Linked DNA regions of Drosophila melanogaster. Changing the gene in region 1 together with any one later gene gives a genetic interaction. Each region holds a gene or a part of one and is shown in the gene's direction. Other genes may lie near its edges.

Region 1 (7,049 bases):
ATTTTTATTGGGATATGCGAAGGCTAACAGAGGCCGATATCCTTTCTATTTAGGCTAAGAAAAGCAGCAATCATTACTGCTGATTACCTTGAAAACGAATTCAATTACCATTTATATCACATTGCTATCCACATTGTACACACAGCCAGATAAGCAATTTATAATTTGGGACCCCCCAAACTTTTCATGCCATCTACATCAACTAGTTTGGCTAGCCCACGCATCACTCAAAAAAAGCAACAGTGTTGCCAGCATTCGCAATTGTCCTGCGTCCTTGGGCGCGTTGATCACCCACTTTGACATACTTTTTAATTGCTTGGAACACGTGTCTTCGCCTTTTATGTATGCAGAATGTGCATGCGTCGGCTTGTAATTAAGCACGTAGGCAAACGCCTCCATTTCCTGCCCAGCAGGATGCTTTATGGCTGATTGAATTCCGTCAAAATGCCACTCCCGCCAATTTATACGTGCTTTTATGCGAGCTGTAATGCTGTTTTGGTAGTGCGAGGCAATTTTAATTTACTTTTAATTTTTAATAGAGCAACTAGTAAAGTCTAGCTACTTGCCTGATTACTTTTGCTTAGGGATTCAAGAAGGAAAGGATATCCATAAGGGTGTAAGATGCAACCTTGTACTTGGTTCTGTACACCCATTAATGAATATGCTTATTAAGTTCAATCCCCACTCCAGTGCCCACTCGGAGCCAGAAATTTCTTTTGTCCAATTTGCGTAACAAGTCAATGACTCAAGAACTCGTCTCTGGACACCCCTTTTTCTAATAGCCCATCAAGGATTTGACAGGCGACTAAACGGTAAACGGGCATTTAATGAGGAGCAGAAAAGGCAGCCGCCTCATTTCATCCAATTATCCTTGTTATGGGCAGCCGATGGTCCCATCCAATTATGCGCGATTTGACGATTGTGTGAGTGTCAGGGAACTTGGTTTCGGTCAAGTTTAATCATTAATAATTAGGAATGTCTTTATTGATTATTAAAGAGGGACATCACGCCGCCTTCAAAACATTCAATTAACAGTGTTATCAAGTTTTTCGACCGCAATATTTGGCTTCCAGTTGGTTATCTTTGAAACGCGACTAAGTGAGCGGATTATTCTTTGAAGCACATCAATTAAATCAAGTTACGGACCATTTAGGCAAAGCGAACAAAAATCAAACAGCAGCAGAAGTTAGCCAAAAAGTTTGACCAATATACATTTCGGCTAATCCCAGAAAAGTTTTTCCAACTTGTTTCATCTTTGAGCCGCTTTCGACTTACTGAATTTACTGCAAACGAAACACACTTATGTAATTTCTAGTAATTTGCTAGACTTCTTGACATTTGCGACGCTCTTCAGCAAATAAAATTAACGAAAGGTAAGCAAGTAATATTAATTTGCTTGACCTAATAAAGCCTTAGGCCAATCGTATAAGCCATTATTTTGATAGTAACATATTTTTGTATTTCAGTATTGATTGTTTCATGGTTTTGGTAATTACGAAAACCGCTTTCCTATGTTATACATGATTTTATTAAAATATCAAAACTTTCCCTTGTTCAACCCATTTTCCACTATCTGAACCGCTTTATTGCGAATTTCTCCCAGTTCAATGGAAATGTTTACATACCAGAGCGTTCTATAAATTGGTAGATATTAGTTTTGTTGACTAACCCATTTTTTTTTTTTTGATTTTCGGCTGATGTGTGCCGTGCGCTTTCAAATTTACAGACTTTTTATATTATTCACCAATTTACGCCCACTTGATGCTGTGCAAATTTGATTCACGAGCGTTTTGTTAGTTTTACTGGGAAATACTATGAGCTGATATTAAAACGTAGGAATTCGGTTATAAGTTTATATTCTCAAAACCAAAACGGTTCAGTTTACTAGACTAAATAGTTTTTACATTACGCTGTACAATTTTTGACAGGAAATCCAAATTTCTTTTCTATAATAAGGGCTTACGTTTTTAAAAATGACAAATATTTATTTATATTAGCAGTTAAATTAAATACAACATTGTGGTAAAAGTATTGAGCATTATCTACTTTGCTCTTTAAATTGACTATTTATTGTCAGTTATGTGATTTCCCATTTAACGTTATTTTAAAATTGCATTTAGTTGCTTCGATAACATTTTTCGATTAGTCACATTAGTTGATTATTTTCATCGCTTCGTGAGCTGTCACAGGTAAGCAACTATCGATATGCGCAAAGATCTGAATGTCACCACTAGAAAAACAAATATGGCGGAACCGAGCGTAAAAGTAAAAAAAGTCTAACATTTTGGAGTTTAAGCGACTCAAAATCATCTAATTTCGGATTGAAACCGAGTAACAAGATCCGCGCAGCGCTCTAAATATAAAGCTCGATATTTGGTGAACCAGAAACTAATTGTGCGGCTCGCGTTTGTTTTCGTTGGGTGATGCGATGCGATTTGGCCACCAATTTGTTATTACGTGACCTCAAGAACGCCGCAAAATTTCGCCAGGCCAAATCGAAAGAAATCGGAAAGTTAGTGCTGCAAAACAAAACTTGCTATTGGTGGCTAATGATTCAAGGCAGCCGCAATGCGATTTGACCGCCGGATCGGAACACACGAAATCGAAATCGCCTGAGATGCCAAGGGGCTTGCCGGCGCGAATCAGCAAGTGCGACTACTAGGACAGCCACGCGAGAAACCATGTCGGGCGGACGTGATAGCAGTACCAGTAGCGGGAGCAATTCTGCTGCGCCAGGGGCCAGTACGAATGCCACCTCCTCCGCATCCGCATCCGCCTCCTCCACATCCACATCCGCATCCCCTGGAAGTACAACATCGCCCGCGTCCACGCAACGGCAACGAGGTAGACCGGCCAAACGAGCCACATGCACCTGGTGCGGCGAGGGCAAGCTACCGCTGCAGTACGTCCTGCCCACGCAGACCGGCAAGAAGGAGTTCTGCTCGGAAACATGCATTGCCGAGTTCCGCAAGGCGTACAGCAAGGGGGCGTGCACCCAGTGCGACAACGTCATCCGCGATGGGGCGCCCAACAAGGAGTTCTGCTCGATCATGTGCATGAACAAGCACCAGAAGAAGAACTGCTCGACCAGGCACAGCGGCGGATCGGCATCGGGCAAGGGTCTGGCGGAAAGCGAGCGCAAGTTGCTGGCCAGTGGAGCGCCCGCACCAACGGGGCCCTTTCAATACGAGAGCTTCCACGTCTTCGACTGGGATGCCTATCTAGAGGTAAGTCAAGCTGGGATAATGCTTTAACCCCCAATCTCATACTTTTTGTGGTTTCCAGGAAACGGGTAGCGAAGCTGCTCCTGCAAAATGTTTCAAACAGGCTCAGAATCCTCCCAACAATGATTTTAAAATCGGAATGAAGCTGGAGGCTTTGGATCCGCGCAACGTCACTTCCACCTGCATTGCCACCGTGGTCGGAGTGCTTGGCTCCAGACTGCGGCTACGCCTGGATGGAAGTGACTCCCAGAATGACTTTTGGCGGCTGGTCGATTCTACGGAGATCCATGCTATTGGACACTGTGAAAAGAACGGTGGCATGCTGCAGCCGCCTCTGGGATTCCGCATGAACGCATCCAGCTGGCCCGGCTATCTGTGCAAGATCCTCAACAATGCCATGGTGGCGCCAGAAGAGATCTTCCAGCCAGAGCCGCCAGAGCCAGAAGAAAACCTGTTCAAGGTGGGCCAGAAACTCGAGGCTGTCGACAAGAAGAACCCGCAGCTCATCTGCTGTGCAACAGTAGATGCAATCAAGGATGATCAGATCCATGTAACATTCGATGGTTGGCGAGGGGCATTCGACTACTGGTGCAATTACCGATCGCGTGACATTTTTCCCGCCGGCTGGTGCGCTAGAAGTTGTCATCCCATGCAGCCACCGGGCCATAAATCGCGCATGGACTCCAGCTCTAGCAAACAGCGATGCCCTCGACCCCGCTACACTGTTGTAGCTGAGTCCGAGGCTATGGTTCCCGCTTCCCCTGCCACAGCCCACTTCCATCCGAACTGCAAGGGCGGTCCGTTCATCAACAATTCCAAACTGCCCTGCATGGTGACGGGACCCACCTACCAAACGCTGGCCAAGCTTTGCCTGCAGGAGGTTTTAGCTGCCAGCACGGATACGCAACAGCTCTCAAAGTTGCTGTTTGCCCTGGAAGGAGATGTTCATATCGTGACGGCAGCGGGGAAAAATTTCACAGTGAGTTCAAGATCAATTAAATTCAATGAAAAGCATGTTTAAAATATACTCTTCGTTTCTTAAAGGTAAAAATACCATCGCCAATGCGAATGAAGGATGACGAAAGCCTCGCCCAATTCATCGAAACGCTGTGCACTACATGCCGGGCATGTGCGAATCTCATTTCCTTGGTCCACGAGACGGAGGAGTGCAAGAAGTGCGCCAATAGTCGGAAGCGTCAACTGACTCAGTCAGCCACACCGCCTTCCTCGCCAGTGCTCGCCGACAAGCGAAACCGTCAATCCAACTCGGCAACGACATCACCCTCTGAGAAGATTATCAAGCAGGAATTGGCTGTCAAATCGCCAGTGGAGTCCAAGTCGAAAACTTCGACGAACAATGGCAAGGAGCCTGCAAGCCAGCAAAACAGCAATCACAGTCTCAACAATAACAACAACAGTGCCAGCAAGTCCAGCAACAAGGTGGTCATCAAATCGGAGCCCAACGGAGCGAACGCGCAGACTTCCTCCACAACGCAGGCTCTGCGCAAAGTACGCTTCCAACACCACGCAAACACGAATACGAATAGCTCTGCGACAAACGGAAACCAGGATACGAGCCAGACCACGCACGTATCTACCAGCCATTGCAGCAGCTCGTCAACGTCGTCCAGCACGAGCCTAGCCGGAGGATCGGCGAACACCAGCACAATTGGCAAATACCTGGCACCTCTTGTGGCAGAAGTTCATCCAGAGCAGGCCAATGTAAAGCCCTCGAATAGCTACTACAAGAGTCCGACGACGCTCTCGTCAAGCGCCTCGTTGCCGACATCCGTGTCCACGCCGTTCACGGGCTGCCAGTCAGCCTCGTCCACTGCACTGGCTGCAGGTGGAGTTACAGCGGCTAAGGCGGCCACCGCGCCGGCTGGAGCAGCGGCAACTGCGGGAGCTTCTCCGAGCTACACCGCGATTACCTCACCCGTGAGCACGCCCACTTCTGCTTTGGCAAACTCACATCTGCGGTCGCAGCCGATCGACTGGACCATCGAAGAGGTGATCCAGTACATCGAGAGCAACGACAACTCCCTTGCAGTTCATGGTGATCTCTTCCGAAAGCACGTAAGTAGTAGCTATTACCAATTACCTTAAATAAAGTAACTTATCTAATTTTCGTCTGTAGGAAATCGATGGTAAAGCTTTATTATTGCTAAATTCAGAGATGATGATGAAGTACATGGGCCTGAAGCTAGGACCAGCCTTAAAAATCTGCAATTTAGTCAATAAGGTCAATGGTCGTCGAAATAATCTGGCACTCTAAACAGAAAAACATTAAGTTTCAGGCAGCGGACTCGGTTCGGGTTTGACTTATATAGAAATTGTTAACAAATTAGTACCTCCCTTTAACGTAAAGCAAAGCAAACATGAACGATATTCATAGATGTGTTATGTGTTGGCCATTCATGAAGAAAAAACCCCTACCCTATTTTATTATATTGATAATATAAAACACGCTATAACAAATGTAATCGCGAAGACATGAAATTCCCTATACAAAATCAATCGCATAACAAATTATACACAGTCAAGCTCCGGTTTTCAAAACCATTATTATTAATTTTTTTCCAACTGCTCGTGATTCTTTTTTTGGAATACACATTTACAAATTGATTTATTTAGACAAAATTATTATACTTGAATTAGGAATTTTTATAGGTTTATTCAAATTTACCCAGTCAAAGGAGTGGAGTATTCGTACACACACAATAATTAGTTTATCCATCTATTTCGAAAAATGTGAAATAGTTCTCAATTGGACACAAAATGATTCGACTTTTTCGAAAACTGGAGCTCGGCTACCAAAATCGCAATGCACATACATTATATTTATTACACATAAAAACACGCACATTAGACACCAAAATCTATCCGACACAAAAGAAATGATAATTAACTTTAGAATAGGCGAGAAAATAAAAACCAATATTAAATGATTGTACATATTTTACATCTAATTTTGTAATTATGTATCAATTGCGTTTCCTAACTATAACAATATTTAATTAGTCATTAAACAGGTTGAAGATTTAATTTCTATTAAGTTATTGAAATTGAATATCAGTTTTTAGTTAATTATTCACATGCAGTTAAGGTCATTTTTGCATATAAGAAACGCTTCCTTTCAAAGTTTTGCAATATATGCGATATATAAATGAGAGTAACATTCGGTCGTGTAAAATATTGCAATAAGTCTCATTATGTTAACCCAGCATCCACTTACAAATACAAAAATTAAATAGAGCCAACTGTATATATCATTACGTAATAAACATTACAATTTGTTCTATTTTCAACAGTAAAATAACTGAAAGATGGTAGTCGGATTGGAAGGAAAATACTCAGGCTACAAAAATTCGACTAAAAATGAATCATTGCAAGAGTCAGCATTTGTTGAAAATATCCAAGAATTTAAGAAGCGATGATAAACAAGTCATATTATTATCATATTTATTTTTAACAAACAGATACACACGAATCTTTCCGCAACCTGGTCATTCGTAAAAGTGCTTCTGCACCCATCGAGGCAAGGCAAAGGCGGCGGAGTGAACCTCGGAGGAGTAGTACCTTAGGTCTATAGAATCGATTTCGGACTTTCCAAGCTTGGGAGTAGCGAAGTCCTGGTTTTTGTTCAGGGAGCCCATGACGAAGCCAATGTGGCCGCAGGGATAGGACGGAACGGAGGTGACGGCATAGGCCACCTTAGCAAAGTGCTCCTTGCAGCCGGACATGGTCTTCTTGATGTAGTCCAGGTCCAGCCAGAAGCTACCGCCCTGGGAGCACACGATTCCGTCATCCTTCAGCGCGTGTTTC
Region 2 (5,512 bases), on another chromosome or scaffold:
TACTCCAATGATCTACCCATCCGATTTGGACACTTTCCGGCTCATGACTTGCCACCACTCAATCTGACGATTGCCCACTGCCACTCATTCATTAGAAGATTGTCCGACCCTATCAACATGGACGTGCGGCCACTCGGAGCTGATCTTAAGATAGGTGCCAATAAGCCCCCATTCATGCCCAGAGCCACAACTCAATGGAACACTCGAACAGGAGCGCACAGAGATTAGGGCACACGTCCTGTGGTCATTCAAAAGTAGTATTACAGTATAATTCGCTTAGCTGCATCGATAGTTAGCTGCATCGGCAAGATATCTGCATTATTTTTCCATTTTTTTGTGTGAATAGAAAATAGAAAATAGAAAAAAAAAAATTAAGTTAGCTGCATTTTTAAGTTACCTGCATCGAGGCATTGTGCAAAGTACTCGAGGCAGCTAAGCGAATTATACTGTACTTAACGTTCGTAAGTGCGCTACATTGTTTAGGTTTTAATATTAAACGCACTCCCATTAAAGTTATTAAAATTAAAATTTAAAACAATAAACTAAACATTTACAAGTAAAAAGTGAAATATTTTAAAGACGAAAGTTGTATTATTTTTTAGAAATATATTTCATATATTTAATAAATATATCACTTCGCTTTTGTGATTTGTCAGTATAATAATCCTTTGGAATATATAATCTTTTGGTAAATATATATATTATTTCATTATCTGATTATTGACTAGTATAGACCACAGTTGCTAGTATTCCTACTTATGTCTATCATGGCTACATATATAGTGTTTAATCATGTTTTCCAGATAACAAGTGTTCGATTGCCAAGAAACCATCCCATTTCTTAGCCATTCATGGCTTCTTATCTATAAGACGTTTATTATAGATTCGGATTCTGCATGACTAGACTTTTGAAACTTAAAAATATCCATGTGATTTTTTAAATGTAATAAAACCAGAAACATAAAGGCGTCAAATTAATTGTTATGCATTTCGTTTATTTAAAAATAAAGATAATCAAGCTTAGTAGTAAGCAACGCCGGAGTTGTCGCGGATCCAGTCCAGCTGGTTGGTAACACGGGTGAATCCGGAGGGCAGGCCAGCGGTGCAACCGTTGCCGGAAACCCAGGAGGTGACACCCACCAGGCGGCCACCGTCGTGGAGAACCAGGGGGCCACCGGAGTCACCGGAGCAGGTGGACTTTCCGCCGGAGGTGGACACACAGAGGATGCCATCGGGCTGGGTGCCGTAGGTGCGGGAGCATTCCGAGTTGCTAATGATCTGCAGGTCGACGCACTCCATCCAATCGGGCTGGGATCCGGCGGTGGTCAGTCCCCAACCGCAGGCGACGGCCCAATAGTTGTCGTACATGTTGTAGCGATCGTTGAAGCTGGGCAGCTCCACCTTGTTAACCATGTGCCAGAAGTCCACGTGGGGGGTGCGGATCAAGGCGATGTCGTTGCCGTTCTGGTTGGGCCAGTTGTGGTTCTGGATGAAGTCGCCGCTGCCGACGGTGTGGGTGAACTGGGCGTTGGTGCGCCAGGTGGCTCCGTAGTAGATGGTCACCTGGGAGGCGCCGTTGGTGCAGTGAGCAGCAGTCAGGACCCAATCGTGGGCGATGATAGAACCACCGCACCACCAGCCGCCGTTGCCGCTGAAGCCCAGACCCACGGTGTAGGGAGCCTTGCCCTCGTAGGCTGGATATCCGTTCACAATGCGGCCATTGATCTTGGTGTCCTTGGGCAGGTCCTTGGGATGAACCTGCTGGACAGTCTCGGCGGAGACAGCGGCCAAAGCCAGAGCCAGTACAACGAACACTTTCATGGTGATTGGATCAATCGTGGTCTGCGCCAGACTTCCATCCGTTTTTATTGCGCCCCTTATCGCTGTCTGGAGTAGCCCCCACTCGGCGTTATCCTATCTCTAAGAAATTCGCCCTCTGATACCAATGGAAATTAATTGATAGCACGTCTAAGAACATCTTGATAGGCAAAAAAAATAATAACTCGCTTTTAGGAAAAATTCTAAGCTGATTATCTTCGCTTACAACCGACGTAGGCAATATAAGAAAACAGAAATGATTTTAATTTAATTTAAGGACTAAATAATTTATACATAATATATACATAATAATGTATACATAGAGTATGTAAAATGTAAAAATAATTTAAAATAGGCGCCCAATGTAAGATGTAAGGATTGAAAAATGGCTCACCTGGTCACACAGAGCCATGCATTTATTGTTTATATATTCCGCCAAATTTTATCAATTGATGTCGCAGCATGTCCACTTGCAGTTCATCCGAGATAGCGGAGAAGAAGCGCATTGCGCTGGCCAAATTGCAGGCCAAGAAATCCCAGCTGCTGGCCAGCGCACCCGCAACCAATGGAAAATCAACAACGTCTGCAACAGGTGCGACGCAACATGCGAATAATGGAAAATCAAATCCCAATCAACCGCAGGCCAAATCCCCATTGAATTTCTACCGATCACCGACGGGGGAGCAGAAGAAGATCAACAGGAGCGGTCCCACGCCCGGTGACAACAAGAGCTCATCCTTTCTGAACGCTCTGAAAGCAATCAAACAGACATCCAACCGGGAATTGTCCCGCGGAGCAGCACATCCTTACCAGCGGCCAAATGGAGGGAACGAAAGAAACAAGCCCACTCTTTCACTGAGTTCGGATAAGGAGAAACCGGTGGCTGTGCTACTCGGAAACTCCATCACGTGTAATCTCTACTTGATCAGCACACATCGGTTTGCTGCCCAAACCTCAGGATATCACGAACAGCTCGTGACCGTGTTCAAGAACATGCCCACCAAGTGCTACGATGGCCAAACCCGTATCTGGAGTTTCGATCTGTCGGACTACCAATCCCTGAAAACTCATGCAGCGGATCTAAAGCCATATGTTCACATGAATGGCATTCCGAAGAAGGTGCTGGATCTCTGCGGCCAGCCGCCAGTAGTTCCGGAAAGAAGTGTTTTAGCTTCCATAGAACCGAAGCTGGCGGACCAGCTAATGCCCTTCCAACAGGATGGGGTATGGTAAGCATTGCTTGTATGCTATGTACTTCCAAAAGCGCTAAATTTATCATATGTTTAGCTTTGCCATAGCCCAAAAGGGACGCATTATGATCTGTGATGAAATGGGCCTGGGCAAAACCTATCAGGCCTTGGCCGTAGCCGACTATTTCAAGGATGATTGGCCCTTGCTTGTCTGCACCACCGCTTCTACGAGAGACAGTTGGGCGAAACACATAATGGATCTACTGCCGAAGGTGCCCATCCACTATGTCCAGGTGCTGAACAACAATCAGCTATATGTGGGTGAGGCCAAGGTGCTAATCACCAGCTACAATATGATGGAGCGACACGAAGATAAGCTGATGCAGCGGAAGTTTGGTTTCATCATCTTCGACGAGTCGCACACGCTGAAGAACAGCAAGGCCAAGTGCACGACAACGGCCAAAAGACTCACGGATCAGGCGAAGCGGGTGGTTTTGCTATCCGGCACACCGGCTCTCTCCCGGCCATTGGAACTTTTTACGCAACTGCAAATGATTGATGGCAAATTCATGAATTTCATGGAGTTCAGTATGTCAAGAATGTCTGTTTACCTTAGAACGCGCTTATATCGATTAACACATTCACAGCTACTCGTTATTGTGATGGAAAGCAGTCAACTTTTGGTTGGGATGCCAATGGTCAATCGAATTTGGAGGAACTGAAGGTCATACTTCACCTTAAATATATGCTGAGGCGAACGAAAGTGGAGGTGCTGCCTCAACTCGCTGAGAAGAACCGGTGGGTTGTTCACATTGTTGTATATCTATAATATATTTTCTAACATTTCGAACATTCTTCCATCCGCAGTGAGACTGTCGTCCTGGATCCCGCCCTAGTGTGGACCAATGCGGAGACCAAGGAAACCTTGGATGCGTTTAACAAAGAGCTTAAAACCGCTAAAGGCAGGGCAACGGAAGAGATCTTACTCCGTTTCTATGCACGCACTGCCGAAGTGAAAACTCGAGCGGTCTGGTAATAAAAAAAATCATTAAAACCATATAAACCATCTGAAGTTAATGTATTATCCTGCATTATAGCGCCTACCTAAAAACCTTAGTTAAGGAGCAGAAAAAGTTCATTATCTTTGCCCACCATCGTGTCATGATGGACGCCATTAGCGACTTCCTCAGTGGATTGAAAGTACACTACATACGTATTGATGGACAAACGCGTAGCGATCACAGGTCGGATTCTGTGGACACGTTCCAAAAGAAGAGCAGTTGTAAGGTGGCCCTGCTCTCCCTAAAAGCCTGCAATTCAGGAATAACGCTAACTGCAGCTGAGATCATAGTGTTCGCTGAACTGGACTGGAATCCTAGCGTAAGCTTCGCTTATATGTTAACTTGGAGAACGCTTAAATTTAGTTTTATTTTATGTGCAGACTCTTGCCCAGGCGGAGAGCCGTGCCCATCGCATTGGTCAGACAAAACCGGTGATTTGTCGCTATCTGATTGCTCACAATACGGCAGACGATATAATCTGGAACATGCTGAAAAATAAGCAAGAGGTGCTTAGTAAAGTGGGCATCTTTGCCGAAAATCTTCAGAAAGCAACACACACAGCAGCACCCACTTCAGTAAGATACATTTTGAATACTTTGAAAAATGTATTTTTCGCTAACTCAACTTTTTTTTTAGTCCCACAAGATCGAGGAGTACTTCTCGCCCTCCACGTCCACCTCCCTTGAACCGGAAAGGAATAGCATAAAACAATATTTTTCAACTATTCCAGCTAAAGAGCCGCCTGAGCAAAATAATAATACAGAAATGACCAAAGTAAACAAGGCTGAGTCGGATATCGCGGCGTTCTTTAACGATGATGATGATGAGGCTTTTTTGGAATTAGATATTTAGATTGTGTAATGGAATTTAATCCTAGAATGTTTATTGAGTTAATCGTAATAAATTGTATTTGAGAATGTTATAGCATTGAATGAAACTTGTTGAACGCACTTCTGCGCATGCTCCACGTTTGCAGAACTCTTTTCAGATAGCCGGTTTCATGTGACCTGGCAACAGGCAAACAAACACTCAAGTAAACCTTTTCACTTGTATCAAATAAATAAATACACAGCAAGTTAAGTTTTGTACAATAATAGCTAAATAATATGGATACTACGCAGGAATCTGATCTGCTGGGCGAAGAGGAGGAGTTGGAGAATGAGAACGACGTATCCTTTCCGCGTGATATCGTCAGTGTAGAGTGAGTACGGAATTGGAAGTTGATAACTTTTTCTTGATTGGAAAACTTCTGCTGCAGACACTCCTTTGGTTACGATTGTAAGAAGCTGTTTAATTTGGTCCTTGTGGATTCAGACACGCTGGTTTTTGCCTCTGGAAACTTCCTCAACTACTTTAGCATTTCGCGCCAGGAGATTTCCTTTCAGGAAACGGTCTACGGCTGCGGAGTGGGCTTTATAACGGTGAGCTTTTTAGTACCTTTGA

What was found.
Region 2: of Scm (region 1) and Marcal1, changing one suppresses a phenotype caused by changing the other (phenotypic suppression), as found in Drosophila melanogaster (one study listed by BioGRID).

Annotation. Positions count from the first base shown.
Region 1 is NT_033777.3:9,632,788-9,639,836, reverse strand, and holds Scm (Sex comb on midleg), read left to right. Parts: upstream 1-2,225; 5' UTR 2,226-2,681; coding exon 2,682-3,227; intron 3,228-3,285; coding exon 3,286-4,203; intron 4,204-4,268; coding exon 4,269-5,300; intron 5,301-5,361; coding exon 5,362-5,499; 3' UTR 5,500-6,478; downstream 6,479-7,049. Other genes in the region: SpdS (spermidine synthase), read right to left, coding at 6,731-7,049. UniProt on the Drosophila melanogaster protein: Polycomb group (PcG) protein. PcG proteins act by forming multiprotein complexes, which are required to maintain the transcriptionally repressive state of homeotic genes throughout development.
Region 2 is NT_033779.5:4,953,303-4,958,814, forward strand, and holds Marcal1 (Marcal1), read left to right. Parts: upstream 1-2,206; 5' UTR 2,207-2,280; coding exon 2,281-3,047; intron 3,048-3,105; coding exon 3,106-3,596; intron 3,597-3,655; coding exon 3,656-3,806; intron 3,807-3,875; coding exon 3,876-4,040; intron 4,041-4,105; coding exon 4,106-4,388; intron 4,389-4,449; coding exon 4,450-4,644; intron 4,645-4,705; coding exon 4,706-4,921; 3' UTR 4,922-4,990; downstream 4,991-5,512. Other genes in the region: Jon25Bi (jonah 25Bi), read right to left, coding at 1,021-1,821; CG34124 (uncharacterized protein), read left to right, coding at 5,176-5,270, 5,328-5,490. UniProt on the Drosophila melanogaster protein: ATP-dependent annealing helicase that catalyzes the rewinding of the stably unwound DNA.